Linked DNA regions of Struthio camelus. The protein of the gene in region 1 purifies or fractionates together with the protein of each later gene. This does not show direct contact. Links are inferred from orthologs where the notes say so. Each region holds a gene or a part of one and is shown in the gene's direction. Other genes may lie near its edges.

The links. Proteins that work in one complex are often made in the same cells at the same time.
Region 2: the proteins of NPM3 (region 1) and NEPRO purify together in Homo sapiens (affinity purification with mass spectrometry; 4 studies listed by BioGRID and IntAct, with this or other methods). This does not show direct contact. The link is inferred for Struthio camelus from reciprocal best matches to the Homo sapiens genes NPM3 and RMP64.

Annotation. Positions count from the first base shown.
Region 1 is NC_090948.1:16,435,375-16,446,073, reverse strand, and holds the start of NPM3 (nucleoplasmin-3), read left to right. Parts: upstream 1-6,501; 5' UTR 6,502-6,587; coding exon 6,588-6,621; intron 6,622-7,935; coding exon 7,936-8,021; intron 8,022-8,763; coding exon 8,764-8,883; intron 8,884-9,577; coding exon 9,578-9,671; intron 9,672-10,070; coding exon 10,071-10,168; 3' UTR 10,169-10,184; intron 10,185-10,334; 3' UTR 10,335-10,699. UniProt on the Homo sapiens protein: Plays a role in the regulation of diverse cellular processes such as ribosome biogenesis, chromatin remodeling or protein chaperoning. Modulates the histone chaperone function and the RNA-binding activity of nucleolar phosphoprotein B23/NPM.
Region 2 is NC_090942.1:96,834,847-96,845,001, forward strand, and holds the start of NEPRO (nucleolus and neural progenitor protein), read left to right. Parts: upstream 1-5,079; 5' UTR 5,080-5,175; coding exon 5,176-5,266; intron 5,267-5,376; coding exon 5,377-5,531; intron 5,532-5,811; coding exon 5,812-5,888; intron 5,889-6,003; coding exon 6,004-6,135; intron 6,136-6,456; coding exon 6,457-6,534; intron 6,535-7,525; coding exon 7,526-7,887; intron 7,888-8,519; coding exon 8,520-8,581; intron 8,582-8,876; exon of another isoform or gene 8,877-9,070; coding exon 9,071-9,321; exon of another isoform or gene 9,322-9,758; coding exon 9,759-10,152; 3' UTR 10,153-10,155. Other genes in the region: protein spire homolog 1-like, read right to left, coding at 833-898, 1,184-1,309, 2,269-2,433, 2,995-3,026, 3,786-4,026. UniProt on the Homo sapiens protein: May play a role in cortex development as part of the Notch signaling pathway. Downstream of Notch may repress the expression of proneural genes and inhibit neuronal differentiation thereby maintaining neural progenitors.

The DNA of each region.
Region 1 (10,699 bases):
AAGAAGCTGGCAGAAGGAGAAGTGAGAAGTATTTTGAGGGATGGTCATACAGTGTGTGAGGGGTAAACGTGGTAGCTCCGCAGTCTGACCTCAGTTGCACATCCACAGCATCTGAGGAGTATTTAAGTTAAAAAGCTAAACACTTGAATAGCTAAAGAAAGTAGCCTCCTATTTAGAATAATTATAGCCAAGGAAGATGGATGGATTAGGCTCAATAACTGCAGCTTTTTTCCTAAATTTGGTTCACAAAATTGGCTTTAACATCCATCCACCTGCTGTAGAAGTATGTTGGCTATTTAATTCAGAAGCTTATATTGGCCTTCCTATCCTGGTAAATGCGCCCTATGCTAAAATAATAGCTTTTCTTCACAAAATCGTAATGAGTTACATCTTGTGGTCTTTGTATTATTGAAACTTAATTCATAAAGCTACAGCAGAAATAGCAATATGCCTTGGCCGTGTCAAAAACAAGCCAGCTGCAAAAAGTGGAAGGTCTTGGCTGACGCCCTTTCTGCAAGGTGTGCTGCATGAAGAAACATAAGCATGCAAAAGAGATTGGAAATATGGGGAGGCTGTTTTGATTAAATGCAGCAGCCGCAACCCTTGAGGGGACTTGCAGTACTGAAGAAGAGAGACATGCTGAGCAAGGGAGGTGCTTGGAAACTGAGATGAATGTTCTTCAATTGGTTCAGTGATGATTTGAGACTTTTCTATCTTGGTAAGTATTGGCAGACAGAAGCCTCATCAACAGAGGAAATTTTACAAATTAGTAATTGTAACTATAATTAATAGCATGTATGTTTTTTTTCCCTTGTCATGAGAGCAGTGTGTTCTGCTCTATTAGAATTGAGCATATGTGAGAAATCTGTGTCTCCAGGGATGTGCAAAAACTCACAAGCTGGTCTGTGGTGCAGTACAGTAACTACAATGTTCTTCTGGAGGGAAATGGCTTTTCATCGAGAGATCAAAGATGTTAAAATGCTCTTGTAGCTCTTTCAGCTCATTGGAAGGGACCCTGGGTGATCATCTGGTTCAGCCTCCTGTTCAAAGCAGCATCAACACTGAATTCAAAAGGGGTTGCTCTGGGCTCTGTCTGGTCAGCTCTTCAAAAACCTCCAAAATCAGAAGGTCCCTGTTCTATTGCTTGATTGTCTTCATGGGGAAAACATTTTTCCTTATATCCAGTCAGAGCCTATTTCAGTTTGCCCATCTTATCCTTTTGCTGAGCATCTCAAAAAGAGCCTGGCTTCACCTTTGTTACCCCTTCTTAGGGGAGACCTAACAGTAGCCTTCCAGTACCTGAGCCTTCTCTTCCCCAGGCTAAACAAGTGCATTTCCCTCAGCTTCTCCTCGCATGACTCTCTCTGGACCGACTTGCTCAATTTTACCAACATTTTTCATGTACCTGGGGAGGACAGGGGTGTCCAAAAGCAGATACAGTATTCTAGATGCAGTCTAACAGCTGCCTAGTGAAAGGAAATAACTGATCTTGATCTCTATTGGGTATGTCCTTGTTAATATGACTGATGGTGCTATTAGCTTTCATTACTGTCAGGGTGCACTGCTGGCTCGTTTTCAGCAGAGGTTCCGGTATGGACCATGAGGATCTCCACTTCTAACCAGGCTCCAGTTAGAACAGGAGCCATTAGTCACTACACCTTATGCCTGACAATTTAGCTGGCTTTTCCAGTCATCTGGTAGTCTACCCACCTAGACTGTAAGATCTCAGCTTGGATATAAGAATGCTATATCAAAAATCTTACTGAGGGCAAGGACATTCATTGCACTCCCCCTTGTCCATAGATTTAATCACTTCATTGCAGAAGACAATCAGGTTGGTCAAGCAAGATTTACCCTTGGAAGATCTATGCTGCCTATTACCAGTCATCATCTTCATGTACCCAGAAATGGCTTCCCAGAGGACTTGCTCCATGACTTTCTCAGGGGCATTTGGATTTTTGCCCTTTTTGTAGTTAGGCATACATTTTGCTCTTCTCCAGTCATCGGGGACCTCCCTGATCTTCGTGACCTTTTAGAGACTGGCCTTGTGGGGATGATGGCCAGCTCTCCCAGCATCCTTTTATGCATTCTGTGGCCTTGTACGGGTTGAGATTTCTCGATTTCTGACTTGACCCTTCTCCGCTGGAATTTCCTCTCCTTGAACCCTGTTTCTAGGTACAAAGGCCCAGGAGACCTTAGTGAAAATGGAGCCAAAGAAATCTCCCTTACTTAGCCTTACCTGTGCCTGTGAGGAAATCACTTACCACATTCAGTAGTCTGTCCCGTTCTCTGCCCCAGTCTTTTCACCAAAACTGCTCTGATGCTGCAAATATTGTTCAAAAATACCTGTCTTGGAACGAATGAAAATGCCAGCCTTCAGATTTGGATGAGAGCTGTGAAGCTTTGCTAAGCTGCATTGATTTAAGACACCACTGCCCTCTGGATGTTTGTTATAACCATCTTGCCATGCTTCCTGGCTCATTTAAAAAAAAGCAGATCTCTAGCCTCTACTGGTCAGTCCTCTCCCTTCATCAGTGGTTTAAGTGAAGACACTGGTGTGAACCAGAGCAGTTGATGCTCAGGCTCATGTTTTGTGTTGCCTGTGTCATTCCAGATGGCTGCGGAGAGCAGCTACTGCAGAAGCAAATGAGTTTGCGGACATCCTAGGTCCTCTTGTATAACTTCAGTGGCACAGTGGTCTTCTAAAACAACTGCAGTTGTCAGAGCCCCGGCGTGTACTGTCCAAGCTCAGTTAAACGCAAAGGGAAAGAGACTTTTCCATTGCAAATAAGTGTTGCCAGGCTAATTTCACCCATCAGCTCTTTACTGCAGTCTGTCATCAGTAGCCAAGTTGAGTTACTCTGAGGAAGTAGGAAAAAAACTGCCACTGTTAGCTGTGGAATAAATAGCTGTACAAAAAGCTACTAGAGACACTGCTTTTGGTCTCTGTGTGTCTCTTCAGAATATTTAGGGTTTGTCTGATTAAGTAAACTGTATGAGGGGGTGTAATTTTTCAGCTAGTCTATTGTGCTAGTTTAATCCTACGTGAACGCTTATGTTGACTTAGAGAGTTCTTTGTGGACAAGAACAAGTTCTTTATATAGACTTAGCACGGACAGTTTAAATTAATCCTATGCGTATTTTGTGACTTTCAGGACAAGGAGGGCAGGCTGTGAGCACGGATGGGGAACTGGCAGCTGCCAAAGACAAACAGCTCTATTCAAGCTCTTGGGCTATCCTGGTGGCACGTGAGCTTAGCTACGCTGGAAGAAGGCAAAACCGTGTGCTCCAGATGCTGGGAAGTTAGTGGCTCCCTCAAGGAAATGGGTGTCTTTCTGAGGCACATTGGGGTGGCAGGTAAGTAGGAAGTGTAATCCTTGCAAGGAGCTTCGTGGCCAACTGATTATTTTGGGGCCAGATGGAGTAGATCTTTTTCTATGTCAAGGATTGTTTACTTCAAGCAGCACCAAATGCTCCCTTTCAAGGGCTCAGGTGTATCTAGCATGCAGGCCTGAAGAACTTGGATAGTCCCCACCAGGTGAGTTTTCTAGCAGAAGGGCTTCAGTTACCTTTGAGTAATGATGTCGATACTTTCTGAAATTAATAAATTCTGTGCATCTCCAGTCCCAGGAACAATACATTTCTAAAGCCAAAAATAACTGTAAGGCAGCTGGTCTTGGTCTGAGTTTTAGAGCTGTCTGCTTAAAAAAAAATAAAATAAAATCATTCCCTTTCTGGAGAATAGCATGTTATGTTCTGGGGTTTTCTGAGTGGTGGTGGAGTTGCAGTTTATAGTGGCAAACAGTCAAGAATAAAAGGAAATAAAAAATATGATCTTAGGTCAGAACCTGTTTTCATCTGTGGTTAAAGGAATGCATCTGGTGAGGGTTAGTGGTTGTAGTCAATGTTTGCAGACAAGAGGATGACTGTGGGAAGGGGTTAGAGTAGTGGCTGGGGAATAGCATTTAAATTAGAGGTGAGGCAATAGAGCTGTGCCACGTTCCCTACTTTGTGGCAAGTGGTATGAGAGGGAACAAGGCTGTAGCATGAACTCCTTCAGGTGATGCAAGCTGTGAGGTTCTCACAGAACTGCTGGGAAAATGCGGGTAGTGGAGCTTGGGAGGGAGGGGAGCTGCAAAGAAAAGCCTTTTTGTGAGCGGGTCAGTCCTGACTGGTATGGGATGGTAACAGTGAAACACAGACCTCCTTGCCTTGGGGTATTGCTGAGGATGGTCATAACCGCGTTTTTTAAAAGTACAGCATACTAATCTGCTCAATTAGAATAACTGGCACGCTCAGAAGGAAGAGTGAACTGTCTGTTTCAAGGCATAAGATGTGCTTTAACTTTGAGGATTTAATTCTTTGTGGTTTTCCTCATTGTGCACTGACAGGAAACACCGGACTTCCTGTGTTCATTGCCTTCTCCCGTAGGCCTTCAATATAGAGCAGGTAAGGCTTTTGCTGTAAGGGATCAGCCATTCTTCTGGCACCGTGGTTGCATTATGGAGAAAATGTACTGGGGTCCTAGTTTCACATCGTGCCTGAATGATGATCCTGAAAGGCTGCAAAATTCTGAGATTTGGGATTTGCTGTCCCAGATGGGTGTTGCAATGCATTCCAATTTTTCCCACAATATCTTGGTCTCTGGGGTTTAAGTGGTTGCTACATCCTTCTCTTGTTGACTGTTTTTGGTGTGGGGAGGAAGAAGGTTTCTTTTATATATATTTCAGTTTGTAGGATTCCTACTGGGAGAACGATGCTTTAGAAATGCAAATGGATTTTAGTGGCAGCTTGAAGCATAGTGTTTATGCTAGCTAGCTGTAGAGTCATCATAATCTGCGAGGTCGGTACCACAAAGTGCTCTTGGAGAGGTTCAAGAAGAACAAACCCAGCTGCTCTGTGTCTGCAAGTCTGAAGTGCTTCCACTTGCCTTCTCTGTGCCGGCAGTTTAGAAACTTTTATAGACATAACTCTCTCTTTTCCCTTGGTGTTGCTGCATCCCATCTTACAAATGGGGATCGGGTTTTTCCTATCCTTTGGTGTGGGTAGGTTTCGCCAGCATAGTAGCTGGCAGCTTAATGGTAGAAGGACTTAGGTAGCTTCTAAGGGAAAGAGATACCACCTGCACCCCTTGCAATTCTCATCTCAGCCTGGGAGACAGGTTTGTGGCCTCTGATGTTGATCTGGGAACTTTTTCTTTAAGGGAATGTAAAGCTGAAATTGGCTCTCTTGCCTCCTTTGCTCTGGGATGTGAGGCTGCAGACAGCGCGTGTACTTAAGGCGTTGCAGCTGGCCAGATGGCTGCGGAGAGCAGCTACTGCAGAAGCAAATGAGTTTGCAGACATCCTAGGTCCTCTTGTATAACCATCAGCGAGTGAACTCTAGCCCTTTTCTGGGACCAGGTTGCGCTCTTCATACCTCTTCAGTCGTGTTGCTGTTGAATCGGCTCCAGTTGGAAGAGAAGAACTGGCCGGCTGGAGGAGTCCTCCTCTGCCAGGGGAGCAGAGCAGGCTTCCAGCCAGGCGTGCGGTGCGAGCTCACCCCCTGAGAGGGCTCTGTTTCAATGCAACCCTGTGTGCTCCCCACTGAAGCAAGGACCCGGCTGCTTCCCCTTTTGCTTTGAGAGGCAACTCTGGCTTTGTGCTCCCTGCTGATTTGAAGCAGAATGTTGCCTTCCCTTCTTCATGGACTTGAAAGACTCGTGTACCTCCGTCCCCTGGGTCTGAGATCAAGCCATCCTTGTTCAATGCTTAAGGGAATAGAGATGAGCCAGTCCCTCCCCCCACACCCACGCTGCTGTCTCAGTTATCCCCTGCTCAGCTAATGATACCCCCCTTAATCTGCTGAGCCTTCTGCCATCCTGGCTATGCCCCTGCCCTCTGTATCTGCCCTGCTGTCAGCGAAGGCGGTGTGCTGGAGATGCCCACGAGAAGGGTGACACGCGGGCGGCAGGAAGGAACCGCAGTTGTTTCCATACCGTGGCCCAGCATAGACTGCGGCATGGTCGTGAGAGGCCTTGCCCTGCCGAGCGCGAGCGCCGGAGCCTGCAGAAGCTCTTGCTTGGCTGAAAGCCCAGGACAGGAAGGAGACCTGCAGTTAAGGGATGCAGTGGTGTCTTTCATCTCCAGGGTGGCTTTTGGGCTGCTCACCATCCTCAGCAATTTCAGGTCCTCTTGCCTTCCAGTGTCCCCCCTCCTGCCTCCCCCCTCAGAAAAATCTTCTGATGGAAGAGGCCAGTTACCAGGAAAAGTCATTAGGATCCCGCTGGGGTAATAACCCTTCCGGTTTTATTGCGAGGAAATAAAACACGATAAATATGACATTACACCAGATACGCCCCCTCTCCGCACGGCTACTCAATCAAGCGAGACCCTCTCGAAAGGACCCGCGCAAGGAGGTAGCGCCCTTTGCTTTCGGCATCCCGAGCCGGCGGCAGCGCCCGCAGCCGGGGGGGGGGGCTCGCGGTGGGGGCGCCCCGGGGCGGGGCGGGGCGCCGGCAGCGGCCGCGGGGGCGGGCCCGGGGCGGGACGGCTCGGCACGGCTCGGCTCGGCTCACTGCCTCCCTCCCTCCCTGCCCTCGCCGCCTCATGGAGCCGCACGGGCCCGGCAGCGTCCTCTTCGGTGAGCGGCAGCGGGGGGCTGACAGAGCCTGGCGGGGCGAGAGAGGGACACGGTGGGAAACGGAGCTGGGGGAGCGACAGGGGGCCGGGACGGAGGCGGGGAAGGGGCGCGCGGGGGAGGTGGGGGGCTATGGGGGCAGGAGAGAGACACGTGGGGTGCAGTAGGGACACGGTGAGGGGCAAAAGAGAGACGTGGGGGCAATTAAGAGAAAATGTAGGAAGTTGGGGAGAGACACGTGGGAGGGGAGCGTTAGAGAGCCCGGAGGGGGTAATAGAGACGTGAGGGGCACTGGGGACACACGTGGGGGGCATTAGAGAGCCCCGGGGGGGGGATAATGGAGCTGAGGGGTCTGGGACGCTGAGGGGAGACACCTGGGGGGCCGGGACAGCGGGAGAGCGCCCTTGGGGGGGGAGAGGGCGACCCACACGGCCCGGGCGGAGGGACACGTGTATGGCCGGGCGCGGGGGGGGAGGCACGTGGCGGCGGCGCTGGAGGGACCGCGTGGGGCGCGGCGGTGACTCGCGGGGCCGGGGGGGAGACGGCCGGCCCTGCTGCCGGCTGCCGCGGTTCAGCCGCTCCGCTGCCGCGTCAGCGCTCCGCGGGTGTCCGCGGCAGGCAGCGCCAGCCTCTCTCTCTCCTCCTCCTCCTGGGGAGTGGTTCCTGCGGCGGCTCTTAAACCCCTGCGACACGTGGCCCTGCTTCACTCGCAAACGTGTGCGCAGGCAGGCGGGTGTGCGCGCGTGTTTCCGTGGCTGTTTTCAACGCGCATCGTCTCAGCCGGCCCGGCCCACGTGCGCTGCGCAAGGGAAGCCGAGCGATCCCCGCGGGCTGCTCCGCGCCTGGCTTTTCATTCCTTGCCCGGCCGAGCAGAGTGCATAAGCACGGCTAATGCCTCTCTTTCCGCTGCAAATGCCGTGTCTGGTACACAGGGCTCAGGTCTGCGTCTTTCCTGTCTGCTTCACATTGGTGATTCATCCTGCAATGAGCAAACACACCCAGGGCGTTTTGCCTCTCTCTCCTGGCTGTGGCCAGCAGAATCCTGATCATAAGAGCAGAAGATGTAACTTTGTGTTGTCCTTGTTCTTGTAGCAGCTCAGTTTTGGGGAGTCAGGGTTTGCCCCCGTAGGGTGCTGTGCTGGGTATATGGTACTCCATGGCACTTTACCCTGAGGCCGAGGCTGCTCCTGAGCATTAAAAACAAGCGTGTTTCAGGGATGCCACGTGCCTGTTGGCCCTGGGCTGGGACTCGCCCTGGGAACCTTGCGTCTGGGCTGTGAAGCTGTTACTTCAGCTTTTCTAATCTTCTGTTTCCAGGCTGTGAGCTGACTGGCAGTACCAAATCCTACACGTTTAAGGTGGATGAGGAGGATGACTCCGAGCACGTTTTGGCTCTGTCTGTGGTAAGAGAGATGAGAATTAGCTGTGTTTGTCCTCTTCCCTGGCAGCCCACAACCTCACCCCTCCTTGCTGGGCTCACTCCCCCTCGGCTGGAGGCCTGGACCAGGCAGTTCCTGTACTGAGGTCTCTGCACTGGCTGCCCCGAGGGCAGGGTGCAGGACTGGTGCTTATAAGCCTTGTATGAAGGTGCGTGAGCCTGGCTGCTCAGAGGGGGAATCCTCTGGACACAGCGTGAAGGAAGGTGTTAGACCTTGCTGGGCCCTCCTAGCAGAACATGGAGACCCGTGGAGCTGGGTCTCCAGCCTGCTGCTCTCAAAGCCCAGGTAGACTCAGGGCTTTGTTAATGTATTTCCTGGCTCTCCCTGGGGGTCGCTGTCTGTCCTGGGAGTGCAGGAACTGCCAGCATGGATCAACAGAAAACGCAGCCCAGGTGCCGCCTCTCGAGGCAGCTGCAGGAACAACTATCCCAGGCACAGAGCTCCTCAGCTGGCGGTAAAGGGGCAATTGCTGCAGGGAGGAATTTTGTGCTCTCCCAGGAATTTGCCAGCAGCCAGTCTATGCCTTTGTGCAACAAAGGTTCATGTCCCATGACTTGCCGTTTTAAGTAGCAGTGTCTGCACACAGTCCTTACAAAGGTGCTAGGCTGGTAGCATTGCTGTGGGTCATTTATCCCAAGGAGAGCCCCAACCGTCCCTGCTTAGTCCCCTGGGAGAGCAGTAATTCACAATCTCTGCTCCCTCCCAGGTCTGCCTCACAGATGGTGCCAAGGACGAGTGCAACGTGGTGGAGGTTGTTGGGCGAAATCACGAGAACCAGGAGATCGCTGTACCTGTGGCGAATCTGAGGTTGTCATGCCAGCCCTTGGTAAGAGGATATCCTGAGCACCCAGGCAGGGATGACTGCAGGGGACTGGACATCTCTGGATATTTGTAAACCTTTTTCCTAGGACCATGAGCTGATCTGTAATTCACTGGGAAATGCCCTAAGAAGCCGTGGCCCGGCTGCAGGTGCCCCCCGAGCCTCCCGGTGTTTGCACATGCTGCTGCTGGGCTCTGTGGAGTTGGTCCTGGCTCCAGGTCTCCCAGCCCCTGCATCTTGTGGGGCAGCCTCGTGGGACTGAAGCCTGGTGACCTGCCGTCTCTGTGATGCCCGTTTGCCTTTGATGAGGGTAGCAATGCAGCTCTGTGGCTTGTACAGAAGATTCATCCTACCAAATGTTTGCATGGGATACAGAGATAATTGTTTCTGGTAGATAACGGTAGTGATAAGATATGGTGGAGGCTGGGAAAAGGAGGTGCAGAGGGGTATGGTCTGGGCTGGGGGGCATCATTCTCTATCTTCTCTCCCTGATCTCTAGGTGGACAATTCAGAGACCAAACTGTGCCCTTGCTCCCCTCACTTCTCCTGTGGTTATTGTAGGGCACCAGCACCCTTGCCACCCCACTTTCTGCCCAAGCTAAGGCCATGTTTAACAGGGCTGTGTGCCCTACTGGGCAGTGCAGGACATTCTGCTTATTGCTTCTGCCACTAACAGCTCCTTCCCTCTGTCTCTTTGCAGCTAAGTCTGGACAACTTCCAGCTGCAGCCTCCAGTGACCTTCCGCCTGGTGGCAGGCTCTGGCCCCGTGCACCTCGCTGGCTGGCACCAGATCAGTAAGGACCTGTGTGTGGGGAGAGGCTCGGGAGGAGTGAGGGGTATGAAGGGGCTTTCCCCAGCACTAACACCTGTGGGGATGCCCCCTCTCCCTGGGGGCGATGTACCTTGGTGCTGCTCAGCACGTGTACTCAGTGCCTCTTCCTACCCCTTTGTGCTGGTTCCCCAGGGATCGTCTCCCTGGTGTTGAGCCCTGACCAGGAAACTGTCTGCTTTTCCCACACTGACCCACGCTGTCTGCTTTTCCCACACCTTTCTGTCACCGTTCCCATCTGAGATGTTCCTCCAGGTGGGGCATGGTCTATTGCCCATGAGCTCTTTGGGCTGCTCTTCTCTTCGAGTGTCTTGGGGGCAAACTATATTTGCAGAAGTGGGTAACAGTTATCTGTGTGTCCCAGCGCACAGGGAGGATGCCTCCTTTGAGGAGGACGACGACATGTCTGAGGAGGAGATTACTCCTGTCATGCCAGCCAAGAAGCAGAGAGGGAAGCAATAACTGGCCTCCTAGCAAGGTGAGGGGCTGGGCAGCCCTGTAAGAAGTTTCCCAGTGATGCTGCCATGGGAAATGCCATGGGTGGAAGCTGTCCTACTGTGCAGTGGTGGTGCGGAGAGGGAACCACTGCAGGAGGCTGCTGGTCTCAGTCTGATTCTTCCTTCCCCAGGTACTTGCTGGAACTCTCCCTGGGATGACTTTTACCTCGGACACCTCTTGCCAGGACCTCAACTTTTGCTGCTTTTTGCTGTAACTTTTTTTGGGGGTGAGGGGCAGGAGCTGCTGCCAGTACTGGGGAGGCCCCTCTCCCATGGCCCTAGGAGGCTGATCCCAAAACTGAGTTGGTGCTGGTGGTATCTCCCCTCTCCCTCCTCTCTGTTCTGGGAGTCAGGCCTGGCTGAGGGAGTCCTTGCCCTGTGCCTTTCTGCTGTTCTGGACCTCTGCTCTGTGCACCCTTGTCCTTCTGGCTCTGAAATGCCCAGTCCTGGCACTTTCTCCCAGGGCTGGATGTACAGCCGGGGTGGAGGACAGTTT
Region 2 (10,155 bases), on another chromosome or scaffold:
CAAAGGGAGCAAGTCCACAAGTCTCTCGGGGCTTGCCGTTTGTCTCCACAGACTCCAGACTACAGTGCATTTGTTTATGCTGGGCAGAGCTCCAGCCAGAAGAGCTATTTGTTTCTGATGGAGCCCTGATTGTGCAAGGCTACAGAGAGAATAGAAGAAGTCGCTTTCTCTGCCCCAAACACACAGTCCAAGAACTGTCCAAGGAGGACAGAAGGGATGGACAAGAAATGGCAGCAAGCAGAAGGTGGGAGCCTCCCCGTCCTTCACCCCTTTGTTCGGACTGCTGGAGCTGCACAGCCAAAGATCTATTCGTCTTTAGCCTCCTCCAGCCCTGAACCAGCCTGGAGCCCACATGATAGGCATGGACTAGTCCACCTCAGTGCTACCACCAACAGAACAGTTTTCCAGGAGATGCCAGTTAAACTACACAAAGGAGCAGACTGCTTTTAGCAGGTATCAATTCCTGCCAAGAGTTTGGGGCTCCTTTAGCGGAGGAAACAGCATGAATAACTACTTGTGGACACTTACTCCACAAAGAATGCCTCCAATTTCACTTTTAGAAGTGGTTTCAGTTGAACCACAAAGAGTGTCTTTGTGCAGAATAAGTGTCCACATGAGGTAAACACATTTAACGGTAGTTAACTTCAAGTTCACTCCCCAGCTTGTTTTACAGACAAGTCTTTAACTACTTAAGCTCTTGAACAACCTAAGTGGTTTTGTTTGTGTGTGCTTAAGCTCTGTTTTTCATAGAGGAGTCACTGGAAAGCCTCAGAGAGCCAGGGAAGACAAAAAACCCCACACCCCTCCACAATGAAAGAATTAAATCCCTTACCCAGTATTTTTCCTTCTTCTGAAGGGGATTTTCCCGCAAGTCTTCCATGTCCATTTTTCTCAGACTCTAAGAAGTGAGCACACAAGGTCGTCATTACCTTGTGCTTGTCCAGCACTTTCCTATCTACCCAGTCCGAGTTATCAATGCTAACCTGAAAAGTCGAGAAGCCAAATCCGCCTCCAAACATTCAAAAGCTATAATAAATTAATCTGGTGCAGACAGAAACCTTTCACATAATGGAAATAGACCTTCAGCTACATATTACATTTCTAGTGCAAAGGGAAGATTTCTGTAGAACTAGGTGAACATGTGGAGGCAGAAGGGATAGCAGCTAAGTGTTGATCAAAATACCTCTTTGGAAATCTGGATGATGGACACAAGCTTCTGAAGTTCCATATATTCAGCAAAAAGACTCCTGCAGGTCATCTTGTAATGGCTGGCAGCCTCAGAAGGCCTGGACAGGTGCTCCTCACAAATCTGAAAGGAGAACAGCTATTTGAGAGCACACGATCTCCTTGAAATGAAAAATGTTGTAGGCTGGAAGAAAGCAAGATTCAATTTCATCAATCTGTGGTTAAAAAAAAAAAAAAATCATCTTCCTCGTGCCTTTTGCCTCTTTTTTTGTTCTTTTGCAGATGGAGAGGAACAAGGAAAGATGCCCGATCCTGTATGTACAGTAACGTAAGTTGCTGTGTAATTTATACATCTTGTTCTCCATAAGGTCTGCTTTTAAATAAGTACCTGGAAGGGGAAGCTTCCACTAGACAAGGCATGACAAAACATAGCAAGGGGAGACACTTGTCCTGGTCTTTCCCCCACCCTCACTCTCCGTGCTGGTGAGACTGGGGCATGGGGAGTTTATGGTACTTTGAAATTACACGTGAGAGCAAACTACTAGTTTGAATTGTGACATTCAACTCCCTGGTCTTTCAGAAACTGAATATTGTGGAGAAGCAACTTTTTTTAATTACCTATAGCCTCCAAAGGTAGGATTTCATACCTATGAGACAAGTGTTCTGGTGGTTATGCTGCCTATAAGCAGTTACATATATCTTGTCCTGTAGGTGATCTTGTAGTCTAGACACAAGACTCAGTATAGGACTGGGGCTATGACAAGTCGTTTTCAAAACTAGGGCTTAATGAGAGTTGCTCTGTCCACACCCCAAAAGTACAGCTACAGAAGGCTATGTACAGAAGAACTCTGTAGACACAGCTGCATGAGAGCCATGCTCAGTCTTCTTTAACTTTTTGCCATAGAAACTTCAGTGCACTTAAGGTGATTTTCCTTTCCCATCTGATAGGAAAGCCACATGTTGCCCTATATGTCTTCTAAACTACCCAGCTTTTCCCTGAAAATTGTTGGGCCCGCTCATTAACAGCATTGCTCCATCAACTCTTCTAAAGCTGCTGCGTTTACTAAGTGGGAGGAAGGAAACCTTGATAACATCCTGCAGGGTGAGTGCCAGTTTCATCGCCTCATCGTCCAGTTTCAGCATGAGGGAGAGCAGTTTCTCCAAGGGCTCGCTCAGTTCTCGCTCTGCTTGACTGTCAATTCCCCAGTCCAGAGCTTCATAGATCACCACTCCCAAGTACTCCAGCAGCTGCGGACACAGGCCAAGGACGCAGTCTCAGAGCAGTGCAGCACAGTGCTGTGGAGAACATCAGAGCTCTCGCTTCCCAGCCACATGTGCCCCTTCACATGTGCCCACCAGCCACATGTGCCCCTCGTGACTGAGCACCTCTCTCAGGATGAGAGGAGCTCAAAAGGCAGCTAGGTGCCCATCAGCTAGCTGGAAATACTCCCCAAATAAAGCTGTTTTTAGGTGTTAAACGGTCCTATCTAGCACCTTTAAGTGATGATCTGTTTTTAAGACAAAGCGGGTGGGCTAACCCATAGTCAGCAGTATCTTCTGTGCACACCATTTCCCAGTCCCATGGTCTTAGTTGAGTTTGGTTTCAGAGTTTTATCTCCTTTTCCACATTGCAGGGGACAGAGTCACTTCCACAGGCCTCTACTCACCCGAGAAATATTTCGCAAGAAATATAAGCACTGTGATAATTTTCAACACCTAGAAAACTGTCTCCTGAGATGGCTTTCTACCACAGCAGGAGACAAGCAGGATTATATTGGCACATGTATGAAGCTGAAGACATGGGCTTACCTTGTGCTCTAACTCCTGAGCGTTGCCAACATCTAAAAGGGAAAGAGGAGAGGAGGGCTAAAAAGATAATTGCATAGGGACTGATAAACAGCTTTTAGAATATCTGGGAGAATTCTTGGTAATGAGGAAACAAATCCCTCTGACTCAGATCAGTCCCAGCTGGGGAACCTAGACCTGCACTTGGGGACTCCTGCAGAGCAGCACAAGATGCACTTTCTATTTACTGGGAGCATTAGCACAAACTGCTAACTAACTGCTGCTGGATACTTCTTTGTATTTGCTAGTAGATATCCAACCTCAAGAAAGAGGATGGGTCTTCCTTGTCTTCATTCCTTAATACCCACTCTTGCCCCTGAAGTTTCTCTCAAGGAGTCAGCTTCACACTGAGCTTTGCAGCAGTGGGAACACATAAGAGAAGCAGCTTGTTGCTGCTTGCTAGCTTCACACGGTCACAAAAAGGGTCTCTGTCAATCATATATTTATTGTGAAAGTCACTACAGGAAAGGAACCATACCTTAGAAGATGAGCAGCACAGGACTTATAAAGCCTCAGATTATTTATTTCAAATAACATAAGTGGTAATAGACTCTCATCTCAGCTATTCCCTAGAACCACGATTCACAGGAGGAGCACTGGAAAAATTAGTAAGCTGCACATACACATTACCACTCACCTAAAGTCCTTTTAAACAGGGTACAGGGAGGAGAACAGCCGCATGTCCCCCTATTTTAGCTAGTGAAGAGCTAGTTATGGGAACAACCCCTAGCATTTACAGCTGTCCATGTTCTTACCAGACTTTTGATACACCTTGAAGGAAGCAGTGCCATCAGCATGGATAAAGACGCTCCCAGGACCTTTTATGACAACAGCATGGAGCAACGGGTGCAGCCCCTGAGCCAACTGCTCCATTTTAGAGCAGCACTGAAAGCAAATAGCCCAGGCTTGTTCCTCACTTACAGGATGTTCAAAGCACCTCAGAATCTCTGCGAGAGACACCTTTGGGACCCTCCACTCACACTGCAAAGGCTCCATTTCTACCTTCACCCAGCATCTCCTAGGCCTTGCTCTGAGCCCAGAGAGCTTAGCACCCCCTTACCAACACAAGCAAGGGCTCATTGCAGCCTTTTATCAGTTCTGCCTGCATGTTTGCTCTCTCACTCACTCTCTTCCCTTCAGGTGTGATCATTAAAGCCAATTTTGCTCTACCTTTTTAAAGGGACACCATTCTTTACCAGGTGTTTATACAAGCCTCTCTGAAAGATGGAAAATACGTAACAAAGCGGAATCTAAAAAGATGACAAGGCGGGGCTTTTGAAATTCATTGACTCTAACAAATATATTAAGGGGAGTACTATTGTTTGCAGGTTAACAACGAGTCAGGCCAACTTCAGGCAAGCAGGAAATAATGTCTTATATTCGGGGGAGAAGAACCCCCTTGGAAAACCGTAACAAATAAAGCAGTTTGATGGGGAACAGGGCTGCCAGCGCCAAGACATAACAGCAACTAACTCTGCAGGGCTCCTGCAGAGCTCTCCAGGCTCCTGCCTGGCCTCGGCCTTCAGGCCCCGAGACAACAAACACTGACAGCCCAGGCGGGGAGCAGCAGCGCAGCCGGCTCCACGCGGGCCGGACGGTCGTTTGGTGGGAGGGCAGCTCCCGGGCAAGGCTGCGGGGGGAAAGGGGCCCCTCCTTGGTCAAAACGCGGCTGCTAATGGCTCCTGGTGCGAGTCCTTCTGCGCTTGGGGAGCCGGGGGCGCGTGGCGGGAGGGAGCAGTCGGGCAGCCCGTGACAGGCACAACCGCCCTGAAGAGCGGGGTCGCCGCCGCCGCCCTGAGGGGGCCGCAGGGCGAACTGCCCGCGCTCCCGAGGCGGGCCCCGGAGCCGTGCGGTCCACAGAGCGGCCAGAACGCTCTGTCGTTTCGGCTCTGTTCTGGCTTCTCGTCTTCGGACGTCTTGGACGCGCAGCCCGCCAGAGGCAGGCACCGGCCTCCGCCCTCCCCCCACCCCTGCCGGCGGGAGGCCTCGCTGCGCCCGCCCCTCGGCCGCGGCGACGTGGTTCCGCCCGTCCCCCCGCCCAGCGCCACAGCGTGGTTCCGCCCGTCCTCCCGCCCAGCGCCACAGCGTGGTTCCGCCCGCCCCGCCCCGCCCCGCCCCGTCCCGCTCCGCCGCACGCTGGGGAAGATGGCGGCGCCCGAGGCAGCGTGGAACCGGCTGGACGTGCCGTGGCCCGCGAGCAGCGCGACGGTGGCCCTGCCGGGCCAACACCCTGCAGGTCGCGCGCGCGCGCGCGCGGGGGGGGGGGGGGAGGGGGCGTTGGCGGGCGGGCGTTGGCGGGCGTTGGCGGCGGCGGCGGGCGCTGAGGCGACGCCTGCCGCCCCGCAGTGCGGTGGCTGCCGGCGCTGCGGCGGCGGTGCGAGGCGGCCGGCGAGCGGCTGTCGGGGCCGGCCCTGGGCGCCGAGGGACGCGTGCTGCGCGCCGTGCTCTACGTCCACCAGCGGAGGCTGCGGCGGCACCGGCCCTTCCTGGCCCTGCAGCAGGTAAGGGGGCCGCGGCCCGGGGGGGCGCGCTCGGCGGGGGGCGGATCGCCCGCCTCGGGGCTGCAGCGCCGGGGCCCCGTGTGCCCGCCCGGCAGCTGTGGGGCGGGTCCGGCGGCGCTGGCTTTGCCCGGGGTGGGGAGGGGGTCGCGTTTCCATCCAGTGGCCGTACCACTAAACTGACAAGGGGAAGAAGGGGTGGCTTCGCTTAAAGGTGGTCCTTAGGGCCAAGGAGCTCTCATCTGTCAAAACGTGAGCCAAAGGAATTTTTCTTTTTCTTTAGGTAGAGCAGTGCTTGAAGCGCCTATGGAAAATGAACTTGGTGGGTTGCATTGAAACCCTGGCCGGACTCATTCCCAAGTAAGTATCGTGACCCTGTGTGTTACGCTACCCGTTAACTCTGTCTTCAGAGCTAAAGGAGAAAAGGCTAGAAACGCCAGATCATAACCATCTCCTCATCCTTGTATCGACACAGGAAAAATAAACCCCACGCCCACGGGGAGTGCTTCGTTCCCAGCCAGCCTATGATGGAAACAGTTGCTGTGAAGGTTTTGGGAGGTTGCAAGCTCTTACTGCGTCTGCTGGACTGTTGCTGCAAAGCATTTCTGTATCCTTTTTCCCCGTAAAAGCATTCTTACAGATCACCAGAAGCACCTCATGAGGCCAGATCTGCTGTAGGCCGTGTATTGCTGATGGACTCAACCATGCAATTCATGTTGCTGGAGTTTCCTTGACAGCCAAACAGCATCTTTTTAAGTTGTTATGGAAGAACCTCAGGCTGTTGGCTGGCTGCTGTTCTGGCCTCGAGCAACCCAAAGTTTGGCCAAATTATCCAGGATATTACCTTGTGAATTGCCTCGAGTTGGCGTGTTCAACAAGTCTCATTACATGCTGTTTGTTTTTTAACCTTAACTGGTGTAATCTTCAGCTTGTCAGTTAAACATCTCTGCTCAGAAGAATTCATACTTTTGAACACTGTGGCTTCAGGGTTGTTGAGCCGGCTATGGTTTGTGTTTTCAAGTGTCTCTTGTTTGTTTGACACAGTCTCTGTCTGTTTGACATGCCTGTCAGGTAGAAGGGCTTGTAATTAGGCCTTGCTGCTGAGTGAGCTTTATTCAGTTGGGAGGTGGGGGAAGGATCTGGGGAATTAGAAGTCCTTCCATCCCTTTGGACCTGATTCTAGCACCTGAAGGGTTGTATAACTGGAGACTTCTTGCTTGCCCTTTTGGAAGGCTTTGTACTCAGTTCATTGCAAACTTTACGTAGCGCTAATAAAACCAGCGCTAATGCCAGCCTGCCACAAACACTACCACCTGGTACTCTTTGCAGTGAGCAATAAGACTTGCCTCGTGCTGAAATGGAAAGGCTGAGATAAAGCTGTTCTATATATATTACTACTGAGTTTTCCAGGGAAGTCATTGTTCCAGTCTGTCTCAGTCCTGCAGAGCAGCTCTGAGCAAGTAACTGCTGTCTGTAGCTGAAGAAATAAGCGTTGTGCACAAGAACTCAGTAACGGCGTTTGGCACACGAAATCTGTCCTTCTCCAGTTATTATGGAGCAGGAGACCACGTGGGCATCAGTGCTAGCACAGTTGTCCTGAGTTGGTACGCACTGCTTTTTTGGGAAGACCTCCTGTTGAATGATTTAGGTGTGACCTGGGAACCTGCTGAGTGCCCGGTGCGGCACTCCACGAAGCTCTAGGGAAGTGGAGGGGCTCCCAAACACGGCTTATTAGTTGAACGAGTCCTGTGCTCTGAACTTGAACGTTGCCTTAAAGATGGAGGGCACGTCGACATGAGGAGCTCAGACTAATATTAAGGAAAATGTGGTGATGGAGCGCAAAAGAAAAAGCTTGTATTGAGGGGGAACAGGGAAAGGGCTTCTTGGAACCTGTTCCATCAGCTCCTTCTCTCAAGCTGAAGGTAGTCATTTAGTGAGCACAAGCTATGAGGGTTTTGCTAGAGATGCCTCCATACTGTTCGATCTTATCTCCTCAGGATTCAGTACAGGTGTGTATTGCAGAGCCTCATTTCCTTATACGAGGTGTTGTCGACAACACTGCATCTCGTGTCGAAGACCCAACAGATGCCTTATATCAAGGGATTTACCTTCCCTTCTGACATCAGTGACTTTCTTGGAGTTTCTCTCTCTTCTGAGGTGAAGAAAAAAAAGGCCAAAACACTTACAGCCGCAAAAAGTGCCAGCTGGCTGAAGAAGCTCTTCCCAGCAGTGCCAGAGGCAGCATCAGAGGCCAGGAAAAAGAGAGATTTGGCGACCTGCGCAAGTGTTGTGGAAAACAAGAGCATCCCGTGCCCTACAGACATCGGAGAGCCAGTTCTGGTTACCAGAGCCAGCAGAGGTAAAGCACTGTGCCACAGTGCTACTGGTCTCTGGCACCTCAGAAACTGCCACGGACCCCAACATCTGTCCAACAGAGCCAAGTGCTACTGCCACCCACAGAGTTTGGTCCCGGTACAAACTCCCCTCTTCCGTCCTTGGACAAGGAGGATGCTCTCATGTACCTGTGTCTTTACAAAGCTGTAGATGATGTCAGTGTTGCTGTAACGAGTACAGTAAATAGATCCTGTATATAGTCATTAGTGTTTTCCTGCCTCTTTAAAGACGGGCCCAAGGAGAGTGAGGGAAGCTAAGAGAACTGTCTGTAGTTCTTATGTGCTTGTGTCTTGTGCCTGCTAGTTTTGGGCTGTCCCCAAGCAGTCATGGGGTACGGCCAGTGTCCGCAGGCATCCAGCTGCTTGTGTGAGGCTTTCCCTGATGGAAGTCTCCTTTACAGCCATCTGTAACTCACTAAATCCTCTTCATCCCCTGTCAGTGGTCACATGAGATGAGTGTAGTCCCCTTCCCCTCCATTGCTGTTTGGACCAGAAGTGTTGAGTATGCAGGTATGAGGCTGCTGACAACAGCAAAACGCTTCAGGGAAGACTTGAGCCTGTCCTCATTTCATAATGGCAGCTCTCTCTCTCGCTGCAGGGAAGCACCTGGAGTTCGATGTGAAGAGCTTGCTTAGACCATCCAGAGGTCCAGCCCAAGAGGTTTGTGGCACCATTTTACACCATTTTTTATAACTTTAAAAGACTCTTAGACTCAAAATGTGACATTTGTGATTGAAAATGTGTCGTCCCCTCCCTCCCTCCCTCCCTCCTAGAATGCCTACTGCTAAAGCACTAGCTGTGTTTTCCTCAGTTTGGCTTTTTTGACCGGTCAGGTCAGCACGGAAGTGTTGCATTGAAAAACACTATTAATCTTTTCTTTATGAGTTTGAGCACGTATTGGTATCTTATTCTTTATTTCACAGAGGGGAAATACAAGTGAAAACACAAGAGCAAGTCAGTGGTAGACAGAAATACAAATTTTAATGGTCTGCCTCTTTTGGTATTCCAGTAAACAAGACTGCTCTTCCACTTGCTCCTTATAAAGAAAGCTGTCACAAATAACTCAAATGCTCTGCTTCCCTCCAACAGAGGATCAGGTGTGTTGTGTTTTTAAAAGGCTAACTACTTCCATTTTGCGCATTGTTTCAGGATTTAAGCATCATTTCAACACCTTCTAAAGCAGAGTCAGTGTCACTTTGTTCTCGTATAGCAAAATCACAGCATACTAGATCTCTTGTACCGATGTTTCAAAACGCTACCTCTTTCGGGGAACTGTCAGAGGCACTCAGAAAAGCTATTCCGTGGTGCAAAGGCAACAAACTCAAATCAGAAGCTTATTTTCTGCGTAACAAGTTACTGAAAAGCAACCGGCTGCACCATGTGGAGGCTCAAGGATGCAGGTAACTTTACATGGGTGTGGTGTTTCTTGGTCTCATACTTCATATTTTAATAATGTGTATTTTGCTACGGTGTAGGGAGATGCAGTGGTGTTACCCATTTTTTTAATTTAAACAGGATCAACAGTTCTGGCCGCTAGGCATTCTGACAGGAATACATTGTTTAGCATCAGTCACTTGGGAAAGGATTTAAAACGTTAACAAATGTATGAGTACATAACTAAGAGGGAGGACGAACACGCACCTTAAACTGTGTGTGTCTAATGGGTAACTATTATATAGCGTAAGGAGCGTTGGCTTGCTTTTGAATGCCCTGTTGCAGCTCCAAGGTACGATAAGGAAAATGGTAGAGAAGGCTAATACCAAATCTCTCAAAACATCAAATAACCTATTTTTAACAGCTGCTCAAGTAATGTTTTGTGTACCTTCCTCCCCTTAAGCTTGCAGAAAAAACTTCGCTGTGTCAAAACATCTGTCTGTAAATACCTCCTCTCTGGCTCACAAAGTGCACGCTGGCCAAAGCAATACCTTGGCGCGTGGTTCTGTCGAAGAAAGATCAAATCCTCCAAGCGGTCAAAGAAGACTCTGAAGACTGTTCAGCAAAAACCTCCTCGGCTTTCTGGAGTCTGTGAGAGCAGTGCTTCATTCTTCCCAGTTTACCAACCTGGGTCTTTGGGACACGAAGGACGTGCCAACGCTGATATGGCCACTGGAGAACGAAGCAAAGCAGAGAACCCTATGCGGCTGCTGCTGGAAGAAAACCCTGGCTCTATGCTGAAAGAAGCTACTGAGGCCATGGATATCGATTCTATTTTTGCAGCAATGGGTGTCTGATCC